Linked DNA regions of Caenorhabditis elegans. The protein of the gene in region 3 purifies or fractionates together with the protein of the main gene of each other region. This does not show direct contact. Each region holds a gene or a part of one and is shown on either strand. Other genes may lie near its edges. The genes, in order: ttr-5, lbp-4 and R06C1.4.

Region 1 (2,907 bases), on a different chromosome or scaffold from region 3:
ACTCATTGAAATTCAGTTTTTTTGAAGAGAATATTATATTTCAAAGTATTTAGATGCGTTTTTCCATTCTCTCACAATTCTATGCTTTAAATAACGTCAATATTTATAACTTTAAAAAAGAAAAAAGAAGACACAATAAAAAAGAATGCGTGTTGGCCAGTTTGTGCATTCCGACGTGGTGGTGTTTGCGGACATTACACCAAGTGACGGTACGAAAATTGTTGGCCGTAGTAGATTACTGTCGATATTAAAAAAATTCAATTCAATATCCAGCACAAATTGGTGGTATTTATAAAATTTACAACGATAATCTTCTAGGAATGATTTTAAATATTTCAATGAGTTTTTTAAAATTCGAAATCACGGATAAAATGTGTTTTCGAGGATTGCAGTATCCCCTGTGATTCTTGCACTATAGGGAAAATATCTATATTTATTGCATTCCTGAATATTCCAGTTATACTTTATTTTTATAGAAAATAGGATCGAAATGTTTTCTCTGAAAAATTTGAAGTTGCAATCCAAAATTGTTATTTTAAAAAGATTTATTTCAAGAAAAAAGAGTATATATAAGTTGGTAAGTTTAGTGAAGACAGTCACGTCCTTCTCCTGGGAAAGATCCAGCAAGTTGAATGACTCCGGCATCGTAAATATTACGGACAGTCTGAAAATATTAATTTCAGTTTACTTCCAGTTTTTTTAATCTTCTTACCTTTCCCTTGTTGATGTAGCTATCTGGGATCTTGATAGTGAACTTGCGTTGGCAGGGCTGAAAATTCAATTATCTTAAAATGTAATAAAGTCATCCAGAAACCTTAATTCCATCATTGCAGTCATGGTAAATGTTAAGTTTTGGGTCGATTGGAGTCACTTCATCTTCGTGTCCAGAAATTTCAAAATCTCCGTTGCCATTGGTCTTTCCAGAAGCCATCAAATCATCGGCATCGATTCCTAGAAATAGACTTTTAGGAAATATTCAAAAAAGTTTTTGATTACCTCTATCATCATCATACAACTTGACCAAAACTCCAACAGCTGGTTTTCCATTGCAGATCAGTTTTCCACGTACTCCAGCCGATTGGGTATTTCCAATTAAAGCATAGCTTGAGGCAACAAGGCACAAAAGGATTATAAGCTTCATTCTGAAATTCTTTTGTTGAGAACAAAATGATAAAGTAAAAAAGGCCGGGATGGAAGAATGGAACCAACAAAGAACCAATAGCTATGCTCTCAGAAAACAACATGTTTACGAAATCTCAGGAAAAGATAAGAAAAAGAAGATAATTCGGAAAAAAAGAGAGATTTGTTGTTATATATCTTTTTGATAAAAAAAAAGCTTGACAGAAAAGTGTGGTTGTAGTCCACAAATTGTATTAGTTTCCATGGAAAATAAGTAGATTTAATCAATTTATATACACCTGTACGAGAAAATATACTAAGAGATGATCTGATTATTTGTTACCTCAAAGTATATCATTTTCAAAACAAATGGTGTATCAGACAATTGTAAACAAGTCAAACACCAACTAATTCATTAAAAAACATAAAAAACAAAAGTGACCTTTCAATTAGAATCAAACAAGTAGTCATACCTGGGAAACTCTAGCCAGGAAAACGTATCCGAAACTGTATGAAAAAAAATACAAAGAGAACAAACTCAATAAGATATGCCAAAGGTTGATGTCAACATTATGACCAAAACCTAAAAACAAACATCCGGCAAAGAGAAAGGTCAGAATAGGCATGTACGAAGGTAAATGGTTAACATGCAGGCTCTTAGGTAGACAGACCCACGATCATCATATTTCCCAACTAACATTCTTATTTACATGCCTGTTGCATGCCTTCCTTACGCCTGAAAGTGTTTAATTGAAGAATGTATTACTCAAAACACCTGCTTTCCTTTAACCTTCGATATAATTTTTGTTTAGTATATTTGTTTCTTTTCAACATTTCATTATTCTCCTTTCCATAGTAACACACCCAACAAAAAAAATGTAAAGAAAAGGGAATTATAGATTAGCTCCAAGCATCGTCCTTCTTTCCAAACTTTCTTCAAAATATTTTTTTACAACTATTATTCTTCCCCCAATGTCGTCATCTAGGAACTTTGATCTGGAGTACGACGATTACAAAGAACGACGGAATGCTGCTGGAATGGGAAGTCGTGCGAGCTCGAGGAATGGTGGAAGATTCAAGCCAATAGACAAAGAAAAAGAAAAAGAGAAGAAAGAGATTGGAGATTATGGATTGTAAGTACTTTTTTGATTTCTGGATTCATTGTCAGAAGTCAGTTGTATTAATAGCTTTCAAAATCCTAGACATCGTGCAGTTTTTCATGATCCGTTACCTCACTAGATACCTTGCAGACCCAAAAATGAGTATAAAATGCAAGGCTACGACGAACGGAGCTCAGATGTTGGAGCCGATCCATTGGCATCAGTCCGAACTCTCCGTAACAATCTCCGAGTCATGTCCCTTGAGCATCGTGACAAGGACGAACCTGTCAAATCACATTTGTGCCAATCAGCTTGTGATGATCTATCAAAAGCCGAGAAACAACTTGTCGATTTGAGTCACAAGAGAAGCGACGCAGTTGTCAGAGGAGACTCACGGCAGGCTGAACAGATAGCAAAGGATATGGATAGAGTGAAGTCTGATGCAATCAGAAATGCATATTCAGATTTAATGATGGAAGATGGAACTATGAAAGCATTTGGAGTCAATTCAAAATGGACACCTGATAAGAATCCAATGCCATCAGATGATTGGAAGCCAATGACACCTATGAAACCTAGGAAAAGAGCTGAAACACCAAAAGGAAGAAAAACTGAAAGTAGGCAAAGTAACAGAGGAAATAATGATAATGGAGATCAAAGAATGACGTCAAAGGCAACCACAAGATCC
Region 2 (3,378 bases), on a different chromosome or scaffold from region 3:
ATTTTTTGTTTTTTGGGGTGAACGTAGGAAATTTGTTATAATATTGAATATTTCAATTACCAAATCAGGAAGTATACAATTTTTTACAAGGAGAAATTATTGGAAATGAGAAACCTCGACAGTCTCTTAAAGTAAGAACTTTTGTTAATTTTCTAATTAACCGTACTTGGTTTTTTCAAAAGTACTGAAATTCTGAAGAAATTAAGCCTTATGAAAAGTCTGAAAAGGGATTTTGGAAACAATTACTTTTTTCAGCATTGGGAAAACGGAGAAAAAAACTCATTTTTGAGAATTTTTAGGGTGGCCGAATTTTCTTTTTTTTTCTTCTAGGCTACGCCTTGGTACTAAAAATTCTATCCGAACATAAAAGGAGCAATACAGTTTTAAACTGAAAAGAAATCACGTGGCAATACACGTCATAAAACATAACGACTACAAAACTAAAAGTTTATGCAGTCTTCGCTTGCTTCTCGAAAAACTTGTTATGGAAATGAAATTTGATATCTTCATGCTTTACTAACTAGCTTCTGTGAAGTAGGGAAGAAGATCAGTGAGTGGAATTATATATTCTATGAATCTTTCCATTTTGTTAGGGCAGCGCGGGAATTAGAGCAAACTTTCTCGATTATTTAAAATTTTATTTAAAAAACAAAGTTACTAGTTTAAATATCGTATTTCCTCTATTTGTATTGCATCCCATTGTTCAACTTTGACAACTTAAATATCAGTTATTGTTTGTTCTATTCAAAAATTGTCAACTAACAAAATATTTGTTAGATCTTTTTCTGTCATTTCGTAGTTAATAATATATACTACATCTTTTGAAAGAATTGAGTTATAACGTTTCAAAGTTGAGTAGTAGAGTGCAATACTAATAGAGGAAATACGATATTTATATTATTGCTCAACAATAGCGATTTTCGTAAATATTTTTGCAACACAGCGTTCGCACAAATTATTTTGAGTTCGCGTGATCTTTAAAATAAAACAAGGCAGCAAAACATAAAATCTTCAAACACAAGAGATGCTCTTTTCATCTTCCTGAAATGAGGGAGCTCAAAGAAAAAGAAAACCCGAAAAGTTGTGAATAGCTCCGCCCCGCCTATCTGCGTCTCTGCTTTTTCGGCATTTGATCATTTCGAAAAGTCTGACCAATCTGATTAAAGTATGTATGTGTGTTTGCACTAAAGGCGGCTTTTCTATGGCTCTCGCCTCATAACATTCATCCCATCTTAATTTTTGCAGCTGAAAAATGGGCAAATAGAAGCGGAAAGTAGGAAAAAAGGCGCCAAAATAAGCAAATGAATGACGGAAAAACGGAGAGAATATTTGGCGAGGTGCCAAGCGAGCTCCTACGTGTCAACTTCGATTATACCTCTGTTTTTCGTTGATTTTCCGTGTTTATTGAGTGCCCACAGGAAAACAAAAACGCATACTCGTGAATAAATAAGACATGAAACGAATGTGGCATGTGGAAATGGAGATTTTTTTGGGAATATAAATCTGGAATTTCAGCTGAACTTTTCATTATCTAGTTCATTTGCAAGTATATTTTTTATTTTGCAGTTTATTTTCATCTTCTACTAATAATAGTTTAAATGGGTCGCATTTTATGGTCTTGGCACGAACGCTAAATTAAGAAAAATACAGAACAGTTGACTTAAGAAAGGGAAATGGCGATTTTTCTTTTCTAAAATCGTTAGTTCCATTTCAAAATTGACCTGAACTTTATTTTCACTTATAAAATTTTCACAAATATGTTTCCTCGGAATCTATTTTCCATTAGTCTGTGGTGACTTAATACAGACGCAATCGCGCTCCACCGACACCTAATTATTGTTACCGTTCAATTTAATTCGTTCTTTCATTTATTTCAATTTTTTCCCCGTTTATTTAATTTGCATCATTAAAAAAGTTTTCAGAAAAGGAAAATGTCAGTGCCAGACAAGTTCTTTGGCCGTTATCAGCTCGATAAAAGCGAGAATTTTGATGAATTTCTCTCCTCGAAAGGTGTCAACTGGTTCGTACGGCAAATGATCAAGTTGGCTGGACTCACTAAAATTATCTCACAAAATCAAGAAGCTGGGAAGTGAGTTCAATTAATAATTTTTTTTAACTGAAAATAACCATAACTTTTTATCTGGTGAAAAACTTTTTTAACGAAATTTTTAATTTTTAGAATTTACAACTGTCAACTCTAAAATTGGAAATACGTGAAATTTTTAAAATAAATATGTCACATGCTTCTTTGGCATTTCCAAGTGGTGGAGGAAATCTTTGTCATAAATTTTTCATGTTTTCGTCTAGAGACCACGAAAACATTCAGTTCATCTTGCCTATTCCAGGTACAACATGGAAAATCTAACTTCAAAAAAGAACACCAACTATCAGGCATGGGAACTTGGAAAAAAATTCGAAGCTCCTGGATTGGATGGAAATCAACATGAGGTGAGAACGAAAATTATTTAAATAATTAATTAAAACAATTTCCAATTTCAGATCACTTTCGACTTCAAAGATGAAATCCTTTCGGAGCATCATATTCGCCTGAATGAACCAGAAACCAGCGCAGAGACTTATTTCTACACTATCGACGATCAAAATCAACTGGTGATGAGAATGGAGAATAATGGAATCGTCTGTCGCCGTTGGTTCAAGAGAGTCGAGCAGAAGTGATCTGAATGTTGATTTGATGCTTCTCTGTTAATAGTTAAACCTTATTTATATTATTGTGATTATTTATTGCTGTGCCTTTTTTGTTAATTTTACATTGAGGGTTTGCATAATTGTTTAAGTTTTTGATGAAAAGTTTCAGCTGTTCCTTCTGTGGTTTTGCACTCAACACTTTAAAAAGCAGATGTTCAGAAATGATGTCATTGAAATTGAATGTGGCGTGTTCTTGAATGTTTACCGCAACAAACGGATCAACTTTTCTGGCAAAGTGCCAGCCGTCTCCGATCGCCAGACAGGCTTTACGATGTGAGATGCGCGCACTTTTTGTGTTGACCCGGTCAACTGTGGTTACACTCGGAACACAATTCTGATTACACTTGAAAAACGAAATTGAACAAAAAATATAGAAAATAATCAAAATCAGAACATTATCTGTTTTTGAAATAATTAATCACGGCAAAAGTTCGCAGAAAAACGTCCTTGACGAAAATATTGCGAATTTAAATTTTTTTAAAAAGCTAGAATACGGTACCCGGTCTAGGCACGAAATATTTTTGTTAAATCCAAAAAGATGTGCGCCTTCGAAGAGTACTGTAATTTCGAACTTGTTGCTACGGAATTTTCATCGATTTTTAATAGTTTTTCGATAAAATAGTTATTTATTTACTTATCAAATACTGAAATATAATAATATCATCATATGAT
Region 3 (3,589 bases):
CTAAATCCTTCTCGGAGTCTGCCGCAAGTGTCGACAAACACCTCAAGTCAGAGCACGGATAAGCCTATGGTCTCTCTCGTAAAGTAGTGGAGTACTCCCGCGGATCCCGAGATGTAATCAGAAAAGTACGAACGAAATCTCTGTGTATGCACGTAGGCTCGTAGGCAAGCACAATCAAGGAAATATTTATCTGAAAAGCTTGAAAAGGCTCTCAAAGTGATGCAAAGCCAGAACAGAGTAAAAGTATGCATCATTATTTAAATTCATGAGTTTTCAGATGGGATCTGTGGAGTCAGGCTGTCTCATTGCGGTTTGATCTACAAAAAATGCGGGAATTTTCTCCCCAGGAAAGTGTGACGTCAGTTGAAAAGTCTGCGTCTCTTTTCCCTCATTTTTCGAAGATCAAACCAAAATGGGACACTTTGACACCACGTGTCAGTTTCTTTGAAGTCAATTTTCTTTATAATACTTTGCTCATGGTGCAACGATCTTTTTTTAGGTCTAAAAGCCGAAGCCTGAGCCCCAGCCTATGCTTAAGCCTAAGCCTAAGCCTAAGACTGAGCCGTAAACCTGCACTCTGTGAAAAAATGCTCGAAGTTTTCAGTTTTCAAAAAGATTTATTATTTAAGTGTAGATGGTGAAAAACATGCACGAAGATAGAATTTTTGGTGGAATGTATATCACAAGTGCAATCTCTTTGAGTCACTCGGCGGCGTTGTCAGTTTACTTGTTGGCGTAGTTGACACGAAGGTTGCGTCCATTGAAGGCAACTCCGTTAAGTTGTTCGACGGCTCTTTGAGCTCCGGCTTCCTCGGAGAACTCGACGAATGCGAAACCGCGTGGGCGTCCGGTTTCACGATCGTACACGATTCTGGAAGACATTGATTAGTTTTGACAAGGTTTTAATCGAAAGTTTCCGAGTTTCTGAGTTTCTGAGTTCTCTTACCTGACGTTGTTAACATGTCCGACGGCGGCGAAGTAGTTTCCGATCTCCTCCTCAGTTCCTTGGTATGGAACGTTTCCAACTAGAAAAAAATCGATTAGCAAAACGGGGGTAATAGTAGGTTTTGGCCTATATATAGAAAGTTACAAACTCTCACAATGCACTGTTACAGAGCAAATGCACCCTATCCTAGTCCTAGACTACGGAGACCATGACAGTGCGAAAAGTCTCTTCACCCATACTTTTTGTGGTCGAACGGCGTCTCCATTTCCAGAATTGTGTGGCGATCCGTGTGGGGTCCCGGGTACTCAGTTAGTAGACTCAGTTATACTTATACACGTGGAAGGGGACTACCTGAAATATCGGGATTTGTTGTCAAGGAACACGAATGAACCATAGAGAACGAAGGCCGATCGGAAAACGCTAACAATTATCAGAAATCGATACTTTCTGCAAGTCGAAGAAAAGTTCATCGAAGAAAAGTGTGAGAAAGTTTCAGAAGTTTTGAGAATTTTGTATCATATTCAAAATTTGTACAAATTTAAATTTAATTTTCACCACCGATTTATTACTATACTTACCGTAGACGGAGAATCCTTGGGAAGCCATGATAGATTTTTTTTTGAAGAAAAACGAGTGTGTTTCCGCGTGGAAGACAGACTAAAAATGTTCGATCGAATTTGGCAGTCCTAAAAAGATTGAGGCCAAACGCGCGGCGGGTCTCGCAGCGAACGTGCCGCACTACGGTCGATTTTGTGTAGGTTTACGGGAGGGATATTTTGGAGAAGAAATCGGCAATTGTTGGGAAAGTGAAATGCTTATTACGTAACAAATTTGACGCGAAATATACCTCGTAGCGAAAACTACAGTAATTCTTTAAATGACTACTGTACGGGCTCGGTATTCGAAATGAATTTTAGCTTCTGTGACACAACCAAGTTGGCGAAAATTGAGAATTTAGCTATATTTTGTTATTTTTCTCAGAATTAGAACAATTTCATTGATAAATAAAAAGGACCATCTCTCCGAAACCTCGCCATTTCACGATATTTTGAATATTTTGAACAGTAAATATTGAAATTTCAATCTCATTCTATTTTCGCATTTTCCTGTATCGATTTTTTGTTTTGTATATCATTTTTTAGACCGAAAAAAATTAATATTTAAATAAATATAAAACATTTCCGGAAATGAAAATATTTCCGATGAATCACAGCGAGACACTGTATGTATTCGAGAGAGTGCAGACGCTCGCTTGCGCACTTCTCGTGAGTGTTTGCTGACGCATCCCGGGTGCACCTTGGCGCATTTCTGGATTAATGATATTTTAATTGAAAAACATGAGATTTTATTGGTTTTTCCTCGTTTTTTGCAGTTTTTCCGATGAAAAAAAACATTTTCTGACAGAAATAATAATTTTGAAGCTGAAAAACTATGTATTTTATGATATTTCGTTGGAAAATTAGGTTTTATAAGTTTTTCAGTGAATTTGTGGGTTTAGCATGTAAATGAAGCAATTTTATATGTTTTCTAGCGATTTTTCCCGGTAAAGTTACCAATTTCAGCATAATTTTATTAAAAAAGTGGCTTTTCTGTTTAAAAAACTCAATTTTATAATTTTTCCAGTGCATTTTCGTGTTTACCATTAACATTAGAGTTTTTCGTGGAATTTTCCAACTAATTTCATTGATTTTGGCTGCTCGCTTTTATGAAGTTTCCAGTGAATTTTTATGTTTAACTAATTTTTTTCACGATTTTCGTGCCAATTTCCATTAAATCCATGGATTTTTACATATTATTCAGGGAAGAAAGTGATTTTTTTTCGATTTCAAGTCATCTTCTGTGAATTCTAACGCTTTCTCGCAATTTCCACCCACATAATCCCGCAATTTCTGCACATTTTCAGCAATGCCTCTAACAAAACGGGCGGTATCACCGGTAAACCTCAGCAGAGGCACAATTCCATCAACAATCCATCGTGATGAGCTTCAATGTACTGCTAATGGGACAATCGCCAATTTAGTACGACAATTGAGCTCGTTGAGGTGGGAAATTAGGTCGGAAAACTGGAATTTTATCGATTTTTTTTTGCAGTAAGCACGCTGAGAACATCTTCGGAGAGATTTATCACGACGCAATGATAATAAATCACAAATCGAACACTCTTCAACAGAGAATTGATAGATTGCACAAGAAAGTTGAAGATTTGGATTCAAATTCCGATCAAGCAACGTTGAATGAAGCGAATATGCGAAAAGCATTCAAAAGTTCAATGCTTGTAGATCAACATATTCTGGATAGAAGCACTTTACCTACAGCATTGACTGAAATATATGCAAAATGTGATCCACCGCCGGATCTTGATGCTCTAAATCCGTATAGAGACTCTGAAATCCCTGCGCTCTCTCTCTACACAAATCCCTCGTTTTTCTTCGATTTATGGAAAAAGGAGACACTAAAAGAGGTTGCCGAACGGCCCAGACGGGTAAAAAGCCCGAACGACGGGAGTAAAAGCCCGAAAAAGCGGCGGAAGCAGCCTGGACAAGGCCCTCTCGGCACGACGGCCTATAATGATATGCAGCATAGGAATCGACAGATTAGTGGATCACGGATTAATCAGCAGAATGAAGTTTTCTCGTTCCCGGA

What was found.
Region 1: the proteins of R06C1.4 (region 3) and ttr-5 fractionate together in Caenorhabditis elegans (co-fractionation; one large-scale study listed by BioGRID). This does not show direct contact.
Region 2: the proteins of R06C1.4 (region 3) and lbp-4 fractionate together in Caenorhabditis elegans (co-fractionation; one large-scale study listed by BioGRID). This does not show direct contact.

What each region holds. Positions count from the first base shown.
Region 1 is NC_003281.10:9,328,551-9,331,457, reverse strand, and holds ttr-5 (Transthyretin-like protein 5), read right to left. Parts: upstream 1,143-2,907; 5' UTR 1,142-1,142; coding exon 997-1,141; intron 952-996; coding exon 815-951; intron 770-814; coding exon 713-769; intron 665-712; coding exon 584-664; 3' UTR 530-583; downstream 1-529. Other genes in the region: cepr-104.1 (CEntrosomal Protein Related), read left to right, coding at 2,092-2,252, 2,370-2,907.
Region 2 is NC_003283.11:7,818,656-7,822,033, forward strand, and holds lbp-4 (Fatty acid-binding protein homolog 4), read left to right. Parts: upstream 1-1,922; 5' UTR 1,923-1,931; coding exon 1,932-2,089; intron 2,090-2,345; coding exon 2,346-2,448; intron 2,449-2,499; coding exon 2,500-2,676; 3' UTR 2,677-2,822; downstream 2,823-3,378.
Region 3 is NC_003279.8:11,928,770-11,932,358, reverse strand, and holds R06C1.4 (RRM domain-containing protein), read right to left. Parts: upstream 1,595-3,589; 5' UTR 1,553-1,594; coding exon 1,525-1,552; intron 1,026-1,524; coding exon 947-1,025; intron 872-946; coding exon 724-871; 3' UTR 602-723; downstream 1-601. Other genes in the region: wve-1 (Wiskott-Aldrich syndrome protein family member), read left to right, coding at 2,852-2,988, 3,038-3,589.